Drosophila melanogaster: one gene and its partners. The gene in region 3 interacts genetically with the main gene of each other region. Each region holds a gene or a part of one and is shown on either strand. Other genes may lie near its edges. The genes, in order: mip40, mip130 and lin-52.

Region 1 (3,292 bases), on a different chromosome or scaffold from region 3:
CAAGAAAACCGCCACATAAACAAAGTCACAAAACGAAACAGCAACAATGATCAACACTTAAAAAAATAAATAAAATGTTTCTTGTTTGTTTTACCAAAACTTTTTATTTCCGAAAGTTACAAAACTAAGCTGCTAGTATAAATATTATAAAAGTTTCACAATTGGCAATATAATGCGGTAATGCGGAGCTCTTGAATAAAACTTGCGTTTTTCTTACAGTGCATAACAAGTGCAAAAACTTGTGAACTTGTTTTCTTAATACGAAACCAAACCGAAGCAAAAACAACGTACAGAGAGCGCTTATTGTTATTGATAGTGGGAGAAAATCTAAAAGCACACATAGCAAATCAATATTTGCACTTTGCGATTAGAAGCGCTTGGAGGGGGTTGAGTGGGCGGTGGGTGGGTGGTGGTCGGGGGATGTACCCGAACGATTCGTTTACATATTTCGAAAAGACGGCCATTTCGAGGGAGTTTCAGCCGTTATCAATAGGCGGAAATACGTATACGCATGTACGAATGGGTAATACAGTTACGTGCAGTCTTGCACAGACACACGAACACCAATGTGCAGTGCGAGTGCGAAAGAGACACGTAATGGCTGTGTTAACGGCACAAGATAAAAACCAGCTACAGCCAGCGTGGGTGCGAGCGAGAGGGAGGGAGAGAGCGCAAGAGAGAGAGAGAGAGAGAGCAAAAAACAGGTGACATTGGCAGCTACGCAATAGTAGATAAAAAATATCCATACATATATAAAAACAACCGAGATCGATTGAAAATGTGAAACGTTGGGAAACTTGGTATGGCCCCTCCCCCTTAAAAAACGCATTCACAACTTGTTGCCCGTTTGGAAATGTGTTTATTTATTGCTTTTATTTGGTGCACTAGGTGATCTGCATGTGTGCGAGTTGTTTTTCACAATTTGTTATTTGCACACAGAGCAGATCCACCCACACCTGTGCACTTCCCAATTGTATGTGGATGTGTGCGTGAGCAGAAGAAGCAAAATCCACAGATTTACAATTTGCATCCTTACCGAATAAGTTAAATTCTTGACTTTTCCAATGTTCCTTTGTTGCTCCGCTCTTTTTGTCGTTTGTTCTTTGACATTCAAATTGTGATTTCGATATTTTGGTGCTTTTCAATCTGAATCTTTTCCACTTTTGCCCCTTCGATTTCCTCGTTGGCTTTGTTTTCGTTTTTCTTTTCTCACACACTCACAACTACACACACAGTTCACGCAAAAGCTCCGCTTTGTTTTAATTTAGTTATTTATTTTATTTTTCGCAGTAAACTTAATTAAATGTATTTTTCACGTCGCTCTTTTCGCGATCACAAAACAGCAGTGTGACCATAAAAGGTGGGTTGAAAAGCCCGAAAGGTTTTGGGTTAAAATTACCAAATCGAGAAATACCAAATTTTTAAGACTTTCATTTCCTTGTTTTTTTTTTTTTAATCTACAAAAGTATTAATTTAACAATCAAAGTCTATTAAATATTTTTGAATAGTCAAATATTAATGTGTATTAAGTTTTTGTTTAAAAATATATATGTTATTCTTTTTTCTTTTCATTTAAGCTACAAATAATTCAAAGAATTATTTCTCAAGCTAGCGTTAGGCGCCAAGACCGTTTGTTTTCTTTAATTTATGGTATTTTTTGAAATACCACTGACTTATGTAGTGTTGCGTGGCGAAGTGGTGTTTCAGTGTTGTGAAGCGCCGTAAGTCCGTTTGATTTCCGATTCGGCATTCGAAATTGTTTTCCCTTAATTTTCGTGTCGAATACAAGATTTCTGGAAATGAAGACTGTGCCGAAAAAGAAGGAAACGGCCCTGCGCTTGCGGGAGTCGCGCCGTGAGGAGCAGAAACCAGAGACGACAAACCTGCCGCCGGACGACGACGCAGAGTCGGATTTGCCCATTCGGGGCCGTCCCTCGAAGAAGCTGCTCATCCAGCAGCAACAGCAGCGTCAGTACCAGGTAAAGCTAGATCCGAAAGTCAAGACGGTCACGTCGGGCTCTAGCGAGAAGCCTTCGACATCCTCGAGTGCAGCCGCAGCCGGCGCCGGAGGACGCATCAAGGCCAGGAGAGTGCTCTACAAGAAGAGCGTTGGAGCAGCGGCAGTCGCCCAGAAGGCGCCCGGCGAGACCTACGTAATGCGCCTGTTTGAGCGAAGTTTGGACCTGTCCAAATACCAGGATAAGACTCCTTTGTACCCCATATGCCGCGCATGGATGGCAAATCAACCCAAGAATCCAGCTGTGGGTGCATTTCAAACAGATGCTTCACTCACGGCCACCAAACGTGAGGACAACGGCGAAGAAATCCTGTCCCAAATTAAAAGCGGCGAGATAAAGGTGATCAACCAGCTCCCGCAGGCCAAGTCCACGGATCTGCCCATAATTCCGCCTCGTCTGGAGTTCAGCCAGGAGGACAAGAAGCGGGAAAAGGCTCTCCAAGGTGCCAGTACCTCCGATCTTCTGTCCTCCAATATGAACCGCTGGAAGAAAGTGCGCGGACACTGGATAAAGCATATCAAGAAGTATGAAAAGGAGCGATATGAAGTTATTGACAAGATTATGAGCTTGGTCTGCAAAAACTGAAGCGTATCTAGGTGATTTTGGAAGTGGTATAGAAAATGAAAAATAATTTGGATTAATTGTGCACAAAGAATTAAAAAAAATCCTGTTTCCAAATCGAATATATATGCAAATAAGATGCTTGTACACTTTATATACTTATATAAAATAAAATCAAATTTGTCAAGTAGACCACTTCAAGTCTATCAAGAGAATGATAAAGCGTTTTTATATTTGCATATTTTCCTGATTAAAAAATAATATGAAATGCATTTGTATTGCAGCACGGAAAGGCAACCGCAGCTGATTTGATTGGATTATCCCAAGATTTTTGATAAGAAAGACATTTGTCATTGACTTGAATAAATGTTTATTTGTATTGGTAGAAGATGCGTTCCCTTTGCGGTTAAATTAGTTCTAGTTTAGAGCTGTGTATGAAGTTATCATTATTATTTTGGGTTGGCAAATGCTGCTGGATTGTTCTGGTTCCGATTATGATGTTCTTCGGCTCGTCGCCGGTGCGCCGGTCCGCAACCCCCTGCGATTTGGTTTGGGGTATACACATTGGGCATCCTGTGCGCCTATTCGACCTTGAGCAGCTCGACGTCGAAGGTGAGGGTGGAGTTGGGCGGAATGACGCCGGGGTGGCCACGGCTACCGTAGGCATAGTCCGGCGAGCAAATCAGCTTGGCGCGCTGGCCGACGCTCAACTG
Region 2 (4,870 bases), 3.8 Mb from region 3:
TCGTTTCCTGTGGCTCGATAGAGATACATAGCTGACTCGATTAGCTCCGGTCGCAGGGGGTACACCTCCCGATTCGGCGATGCCTCTCCAGCAGCAATGTTATAAAACTCTGGCAGAAAGCCGTACTTCTTCCAGACCCCAATGTACCGTGATATGGTGCGCAAGGCCGGCTCCGTGTCGCCAATAATGCTCAGGATGCCGGGCCAAAACGCCTCCAGGGACTGAAAGACGGGAAGGGTGACGCGGCCTTTGTTCATGCCTACCCACACGTACCAGTCCTCCTTCCGCATGTACTTATCAATGGCCGCGCGAGCCTCATGGAATAACTCCAAGAGTTCTGGGCGATTGAGCAGGACAGATGCCTTAACTAGGTATTCAAAAAGGGAATCCACTCCTGCTCCGATACCAGAGTCGAGGGCGGTCCAACGACCGCTCTGCACGTCGATGTGATTGCCAAAAAGTCCAATGGGCGAGCGATATGCCCATAGAGCATGTACCGCCTTCATAGCAACATCCTCGTAGATGGTTTTCCCGGTCAACCGGCTAAGGGTACCAAATTCGATGAGGAATGTCCCCACGCCCGCCGTACAGGTTATAGAGGTCTCGCCCTTGGGCACGCCATAGCGCAGGTTCACCGTGCCATAAGGCATACCCGTGTTCGTGACGAAGGCTGGCAATAATCGTCGGGCCACATCCTCCGCCAGTCGCAGCAGAGGTCCCTTGCAGGGCCATCCTGGCTCTAGCTCTACGCCAGCACGCTTGGAGAGCAGATGCGCGGACAGCAGCCCGCCCACGATGCGGATGTTTGTCTCGAACACGGACACGTTGATGTCCCTGTCAAAATCCATCTTCTCCTCGAGCAGTCTTGCCGCGCGGCGGAATTCCGTGAAGTTGCCCATGGTGGCCAGCGTGTCCAGAGCGTCGATCAGTGTCAAGGAGTAGCTGCCCCAGGTGTCGTGGCCATCGCAGGTCAGCGGACGCAGTTCATCGTAGTTGGAGGCGTGGCGCAGGTAACCATCGTAGGCGTGCTGGAACATGCGCCGCACATCCTCCCTGCAGATTCATTGCCGGTTAGGATTAGTATGTCCGAGTTTAGCCCTAGCAATGACCCACCTCAGTTCCAACTTTCTTGCCTTGGAATACTGCTTCTGGCCGCTGACACCGGTGGACAGCAGGACGAGGAGGACCGCGCAGATGAGGGTGCCCGGATAGCCGTTGTTTCGGGGTTTTTGCTGCATCGTGGGACAGTCAATCAATCAGGGCCGCTAATTCAATTATGGGCATGGTCAGTGTTCCATAGCCAGCGTGGATGTGGGATGTGTGGAAGTCAAATGCGGCTACGTTGACGCAAAATCACAACAAGGGCTGATTCGGCGGTGGCATCGACCGCCGAATGCCCTACTAATTCCGTTCGGTGAGTGTTTTTTTATAGAGCGCTTAGAGTAGCAAACGGGGGAAAGAACACAAGCCAAAGAGCTTTTTTAAGGTAACAACCAAACACTATAGGCTAGCAAACACTGTATTCTCCGCCAATTCTGAAGTACGTTAATTTTACCCAACAAAATCCCTAGCAATAGGATATGTCATTCCGTAGGGTGCAATCAGCTGTTGCTGATCGAATAACTATCGAAAGGGTGGTCAGATCGAATTTGCATGGTGGTCATTGCTTGTTAAAGGAATACAACAGCTCAGAATAGCCGTAAAATCAGCGCGGCAATATTAAAGTCGGGTTGGAAAAATTAAATGGCAATTTCTTTAAGAATTCAAAAAGTTTGTGATGACAAATATACCGATTGTTTGTCACTGCTTTGCGCGGCACACGTTCCTTTATACTTTTATTCGCGTCGAGTTGGCAGCACATACCAGTTTTTTTTGTGGCCATTCAAAAGTGTGTGTTCGTACGGGTAAAAAGTGATTTAAATTCAAAATATTCAGCGAAACGACCGCCTCCAATAGAAGCAACTGTACCCTATGGTAAGTAACTGCCCTCTGCACCCGTTTCACACCCGGACATCCTCCGGATGAGCTGACCAAGAAATCCGCAGCCTTTGTTACGCTTCCGACTGCGAATTGCAGTTCTGGCGATGGGCAGCGATGTGTTTCGGTTTTGAATCATTCTCCGCGTAAAAAAAACTCAGAAAGAGGGTCGACTATAACCTCGCGGAGTAACTGCATCACGGCCCGTGTGCCTTTTGTACTCCGCGTAAGGCGATCGTTTAAATGCAATCGCGTATGCTTAATTGTCCGTTGGGCGAAAAGTAACAACATTGTGGGTCTATACATGCGGGATTGCCTCTGGCTGACCAGAAACCACATTGAAACCATCCCGTTGACCGTAGATATAAGCGTGTGCCATTTGGGATCTGGAAATCGTGTTTCCACCCAGTTGTTTGCATATTTATAAACAATTAAAGAAAAATATTAAATTTTTTGGTCAGGGCTGTCGCCCCTCGCATGGCATCGATAGAAGAGCGTCCGGAGCTGCGGTTGCAACCCTATCCGCTCACGCAAATCTATCGAAAAATTTTACTCCACGGTCGATTTTCGTTGCTTTTTTTTCACACTCGTGTAAAAAAAAAGGAAATAGCTAAGTAAATCGAAAGTACAGTGCAGTGTTTTGATCCCGTGGAGTGCATGTTCCAGCGGAAAGTGTGTGCAACAAATATGAGCAGTTCGCAAAAGTGGCGAGCAAAAGCAATAACAAAGTAGCAACAGCAACGCAACGTGTGTGTGTTGTAAGCAATCTGTACAGCGGAAAGGTGTTGGTGTGTTGGTGTGCTCGGGGGGTGGTGTGCGTTTCGCCCGTCCCGTGTCCATAAATTAGAATCAAATCGAATCGAAATCGACATTGAAGTCCGCTGCTCCGCCACCGCGATGTCCGTCGACCAGGATCAATAAGCAGCGTCACCACCAGTAGCGGACCATCATTAAGTTCTCCATATCGAGAGCAGGCTGACTCGGAATCGAACTCGGATTCGGAATTGGAATTGGAATTGGCATCGGAATCGGAATCCATAGCGGAGGAATCACGCGCGGCAGCCAGCCCAATACGGAAAACTGCTGAAAAATGTTAGATAAATGCCCAGTTATCTACAATTATTATGGCTTGTCCCTGTGTGCGTGTCCAGGTGTGAGGGTGTGTGTGTTTGTGTGCGATAGCAGAAGCAAAATCCGCTCAAATTGCGATGCCAAATAGTCGGCCAATTAATTGATCTTTCAATTGGCGACATCAGGCGCCCTCCCATATACCCAGCTCCGCACGAAACCCGATATATATCCGCGGATTGAGTCTCTGCTTTTGCCGCACATATGTATTGTATAACCCTTGTTTATCTTTGGACAATCCGAGGTGGAGTGGAGTACAGTGGAGGCTGGCCAAGTTGGACACATGTGCCGATAAGGTGGCGTGTGCTGGAACGAGTGTCCCCTGTAATGCGGTCTTATCTGAAGAGCTTTGCAGGTCACTCCGACTGACAAATTCACCTGCAAGCTAGGAGGGGAAAGCCCTGTGAAGAACTCTCTAACACGATAAAGTCATATTCCTGATTGATACAACTATAACACACAGAAATCACTATCAGACCAGAGAACCAGCTCGCAAGACCCAAGACTGTAGCTATACCAAATAATCTATCCATAAAAATAGGAAGTTCTTATCTTATCACATACTCTAGGTAAAGATTTAAGATGGATCTCTATAAATACTTTTGAATTTACAACCCAATTTGTTATGCTTCTCCTGTAAGTGGCCCAAAAATCGTCAGTTAAGCATATGAAAAGTCTCGACAATGTGGCTGCACTTTGTTCCTTTAATTGTTCTTATATTGTTTACAAATTGCATAAGCTGTAAATGTAAACTTTGCTTAGTTCGATTTCGCTTATTCCCGAAGTCTGTTTAAACATTCAACAGGAAATGAGAAACTGAGCTTGTTTATAAAACGTTAGGCAACATTACCCCTTTTGCCATTCATCTTTTCCATTAAGAACGCCATATAAATTCAGTTTTCAATTTACATCGTACAGCTGTGGGTTGTAGAGCACTATTAGCTGCTAGGAAAGCAGGTTGAATAAAATGATGATGAGAAATCACAGAATTCGAAGGACCTTGGGTGAGTCACTGACTAGCAGCTTTCACTGCACCATCCACGCACTCAAAGCCGACCACAACTGGAGTTCATACACACACAGGGGCCACCATAAATAATTCGCATCCACTAGGTGGAAGTGAGCAAATGTTTACTCAATAACTATTCTTGCAGAGCCCGCAGTCGCAGCAAAGCAACGATTACCAGCGACACGAGCAGGGAGCAGAAGGAAGCCGGCGGAGGAGGAGAAGAAGGAGAGCCACCGCACAGATTGGGTAAAGCGCACCACCATGGTGAGTACCAATCTGGTGGTACCCGTGGTGCTGTGGGGTCCCACCGCGCCCACGCACTGCATCTCTAGCGTGTTCCTCTCGGACGATCAGTTTACCCTGGTCACCGGCTGCTACGATGGACAGATCTGCCTTTGGCAAGTGGAGCCCACCACCCTGAAGATGTCGCCGCGGTGCCTCTTGGTGGGCCATTCGGCGCCCGTTTTGTGCTTAGTGCGTGCCTCGCTTCTGCCGGAGAACAACTTCCTGGTCAGCTCGTCTGAGAACGGAGAGATGTGCACCTGGGATCTTACGGACGGCAAGTGCATGGAGGCGGTCAAGCTTCCACAGGTGCACACCCAAATTCAGAGCTACCACACCGCCAACAGCGAGGATGTGCGCCTCTTTTGCATTGGCTACTATGCTGAAATCATGGTCATGGATCCGTTCAGCCTAGAGGTGATCTACGTGCTCAGCTCAAAGGTCAAACCGGATTGGATATCCGCTATTCACGTA
Region 3 (4,096 bases):
GGCCAACGCAGCGACCTTGGCCTGGTTTAGGCACTTGCCTTAAATGCATTTTGTCGTCATTGCAGCGCACATGGTGGAGGAGATTGGCTGCCAGAGACAGACGGGCATTGTGGTCGCCATGCCCAGCCAGGTGGCATCCAACACCGGAACTCCAGCCCCATCCGCCGGCGGCATTCACCAGCAGCATCAGCAGCAGCAACACCAGCAGCACCAGCAGCAGCAACACCAGCAGCAGCAGCACCAGCAACACCAGCAGCAACAGCAGCAGCAACACCAACATCAGCAGCAGCAACAGCAACACCTTCAGCAGCAGCAACACCACCAGCTGCAGCAGCAACAGCAGCAGCAGCAGCATCAACAACTCGCCAGCAACATGAGCCTGCTGACCGTCAAAGGCGGCCGTTACCTTTGGACCGACCGGGAGCTGTTGATGCACCTCCAGAACTACACTCCCCTGATCCTTCTCATCGATTTCGTGGAGAAGACCCGAACCAAGCGCTTCTATGAGAGCTCCGAGCGCTATGAGATACTCATGCTGGTCTTCATCATGCGCAAGGGAGCGCCGTTTTGTGAGAACAAGCGCTTTCCAGCGGAGTACTGGGTTAATCTATCGGTGGGACCAATTGCCGAGGCGTTTGACCGTCTGCAGGCGGCCATCGATATACCGGATCCCCAGCTGCCGATCCACATGAGCGTTACAGATTTGACCAGCTGGAAGCAAATGTTCGACCTGGCCATGCTGGATATACGGCGTTTTGCGTACTACACCGATCCCTTGCAGCTGGCCGATGCGGGCGTCTTTAACCGGATCACCTTTGAGCAGCGATTCGGAATGCAGTGGCAGGAGTAATGGGAATTGATGCACGTTACTGGATATATATTCACGGGAAACAGCATGTAAGCACACCATCAGCACCAACACACTTTCCCAAATTGGGATGGATCGTGGGGAAGGCTACTGCATAAATCCGAACGAAAGCATTTAGTTAAGTATTAATAGGACGCACTAGAGCGCAACCGATCCATCCAATCCCACATAGACAGAGTTATTTGTTGCGTTAATGTCCCTGCATAGCGAAATCTACTGTGCCTTCTCCAAAAACTCCAGATCCTTCTGCATTCCTTTCCCTCCAATCCGTCAACTTCATCTCTCCTCCGACTCCTCAAATGTATCTGTAATACAAGCGACGTGTAGGACCCAAAATGCTTTAATGGAAATAAACGTTAGTTACTGTTCAAACGCCTGCCTATTTATCTTTGTAAAATAGCGATAAATCATTCACAACACGCATTACTCACTATAAAAATAGCACTATGTACACTATGAAACTACACCTATGTTCCTAATGCGAATTCAACGAGATCCTCGACAGTCCCATTCTTAGGGATCGGATCATCCAGCCTCATGGCTGCCGCTTAGGAGCGCGATCCCGGTCAAAGATGCCCAGCAGTTTCCCACGAGTCATCTCCATTGCCTCACGCAGTCCCAGCTGGTAAATTTCATCATGCATTGACTTTATTTTATCGATCAGATCCTCGGGAGGGAGCTGGGCTAGTTCTGGAATAGAAAAGTAGGTAATGGATATGCTATTCTTTAATATACTATTCTTAAATCTCATTGACTTTGCAGCTACTTACCATTAATCTTAACCATATCATCATCGGTCAGATTGCTGGTGTAGTTGGTGCTGCGCGTGTACATCGGCGTGTCGCTCATGGAGAGGAACTCGTCCATTCCGGGAACTGGAGCAATCGAAAATAAAGATATGCGTTAAAAATGGCGCCAATTTCTTCGTGCTCACGTTTTCTACACTTACAACGCTCTGGCCATTGGACAGGTGAGGGTCGCAGAGTTTCCATGGAGATGAGCTCGTCTTCCGGCGTTATGGGCCGCTCCTTGACCTCCGGGACATCCTTTTCGGCCAATAACGTACTACTGCTGGACGCTGAAGCCTTCTCCACTTCCTCGTCCGCCGCTTTTAGAATGGTTTCTGCAAGAAAACCTCGTTTTATGGCGCCTTTCATGTGATTTAAATATTTACTCACCTGTAGAAAGCAAATCCGTAGTTGTCTCTGCGTTGCTCATCGCGGATAATGTTGAAAAACTCCAAAAACTATTGAAAATAAACACGGAAAGATGCCAAAAAATCCGTGGGCTAATCACTTGCCACCTCGTTAAACAAAAACTATAGCGTTGCCACTTTCAACAATCACTATCGAATACTATCGATTTACCGCCAAGCCAGTGCTAGAAAGCACCAGGAAGTATAAAACAACTGATATTTTTGGTAAACAAAGAACTGTTGTTATTGCTTTTCCTGGTTTTATTAATAGAAGTTAAAAATAAATGGCACAACAATTAGGAAATGAGCGTGCCTCGACTTATACTAAATTCAGAGTGGAGAGCAGGCGTCGTAGCAGAGAAACGCGAACCTCTCCGCGACCTCTATCGTGCTCTCTTTTCCACTCACGGTCGTTTAACGGCGCATAGAGACAACTCTGCGCTAGGTCGCCTGCTCTCGTTCGCTCTGGCGCGCAAACGGCACTTGGCACACTTCGCACAGTGGCGCCAAAAAATATGTGCCCGTAAAAAGCACATGTGCTGCGCAGTAGTTGTCCAGAACAACACAACACGGATGTCTAACCAGTTATTGAAATAAACTTATTCAAGAACATCTTAATAATAATATAAAATCTTAAGGAATAACAATATCTTATCAAGTTTTTATCAATTGGCGCCGCCGCCTGGTAGCACTGTTCGCATACGCAGACTTTTGGCCACCACTGTTTTCCCATGCGCCCTCGCACTTTCTTTCGGTTTTTCATTCGCTGCTCCGCTCTCACTCAGTCAACAAGCACTCATACACACGCGCTCACCTGTTCCGCCGCCCCGCTACCCCGTCTCTCGACATTACTGCGACCGCTCCCGTTCCGTTTCATTATTTTTTTTGTCGCTGTCATTCAGTTGCCGTTTTAACTTCGCCGCGCGAGAAGCGGAAACTTTTGCCAGTCCGCTCGAGGAAAATAGAAAAATACTGCAGTGCTGCTGCAGTCGTGCAGCTCGTACATTTCGTTTCGTTTCGTTTGGCGCCAATTTCAAAGCGCAAATCCGCTGGCGGATTGAATTGCACCAAAGTTGTTCTTGGATCTCTACGTTTGCATCCATCCATCTAACCAAGCAACCGGCTACCACCCCTCCACTCCTGACAGTGACCCCTCGCTGACCCTCCATCCCCCCCTCCGCTCGACGACTCTCATGGCAGCTAGCAAATTCCATTGCGGCAAGCAATTGACAGCCACACATTCACATTTCGATGCGACATGTGCGAAAATCAGGGCCTTTTACTTTGACCTGGACAACACGTTGATTCCCACCAGAGCCGGCGATTCCAAGGCGATCAGAAAGGTGAGCTTTGTTAACCAAGCCAAGGCAGACAGCCTCACTGCCCCCTCTGCCAATCACCAATCCGTTGGCGTTTCTTCCGTTTCTTTTCCATGTAGTGTTTGTGGGGGGGCGGGGCGGGGGAGGTGAAAGTGCGCAGCAGGCGGGCGACCCAGCTAGAAAATTTTCCACTGCAGCCCGCCCGTTGTTACGTAGTCGAAAAAACCCGGACGCTCGGCAGATAGCACGCGCCCGAAATTTCGATTGTTTATTTGCGTTCCGATTGATTTCCTTTCCCTTCCCTTCACATCCCCCAGCCACAAAAAAAAAAAAAACAAAAAAGAAAAACTCAGAGTGCACTCGACAAGGTCTTAACTTAAATATAACCACGGGTACATGCACTTTAGAAGGCTAAAACCCACTAAATAATCGGCATTACGTTGGAAATTCGGAATCTTCGGTTTTCGAAATGTTAAAAGGCACTTTACAGGATCTTATCGTGGTGCGCATTATCGATTGCAAACGATTGCAAAAAGGTCGGAAATCGAGGAACTTGCACTTAACAAAAGTTGAACGAAACGTCATACCAACAAACTTTGGAAACCCGCGTCAATGGTTTCTTTTGAAATATAACCTTCTTATAAAGTGAATGGCACACAAAGAAGCTAAAGGTTAATTGATGATAATAGGTAGCACTTCGCAATATGTACTTGT

What was found.
Region 1: of lin-52 (region 3) and mip40, changing one suppresses a phenotype caused by changing the other (phenotypic suppression), as found in Drosophila melanogaster (one study listed by BioGRID).
Region 2: of lin-52 (region 3) and mip130, changing one suppresses a phenotype caused by changing the other (phenotypic suppression), as found in Drosophila melanogaster (one study listed by BioGRID).

Annotation. Positions count from the first base shown.
Region 1 is NT_033778.4:19,290,605-19,293,896, reverse strand, and holds mip40 (Myb-interacting protein 40), read left to right. Parts: upstream 1-1,700; 5' UTR 1,701-1,799; coding exon 1,800-2,603; 3' UTR 2,604-2,792; downstream 2,793-3,292. Other genes in the region: Fkbp12 (FK506-binding protein 12kD), read right to left, coding at 3,161-3,292.
Region 2 is NC_004354.4:1,906,382-1,911,251, forward strand, and holds the start of mip130 (Myb-interacting protein 130), read left to right. Parts: upstream 1-1,857; 5' UTR 1,858-1,971; coding exon 1,972-1,974; exon of another isoform or gene 1,975-2,446; intron 2,447-2,538; exon of another isoform or gene 2,539-3,069; intron 3,070-4,259; exon of another isoform or gene 4,260-4,375; coding exon of another isoform or gene 4,376-4,870. Other genes in the region: Edem1 (ER degradation enhancer, mannosidase alpha-like 1), read right to left, coding at 1-1,053, 1,114-1,238; Rbcn-3B (Rabconnectin-3B), read left to right, coding at 4,376-4,870.
Region 3 is NC_004354.4:5,752,799-5,756,894, forward strand, and holds lin-52 (lin-52), read right to left. Parts: upstream 2,161-4,096; 5' UTR 2,087-2,160; coding exon 2,047-2,086; intron 1,992-2,046; coding exon 1,818-1,991; intron 1,744-1,817; coding exon 1,639-1,743; intron 1,559-1,638; coding exon 1,404-1,558; 3' UTR 851-1,403; downstream 1-850. Other genes in the region: CG15772 (uncharacterized protein), read left to right, coding at 71-850; CG15771 (uncharacterized protein), read left to right, coding at 3,257-3,406.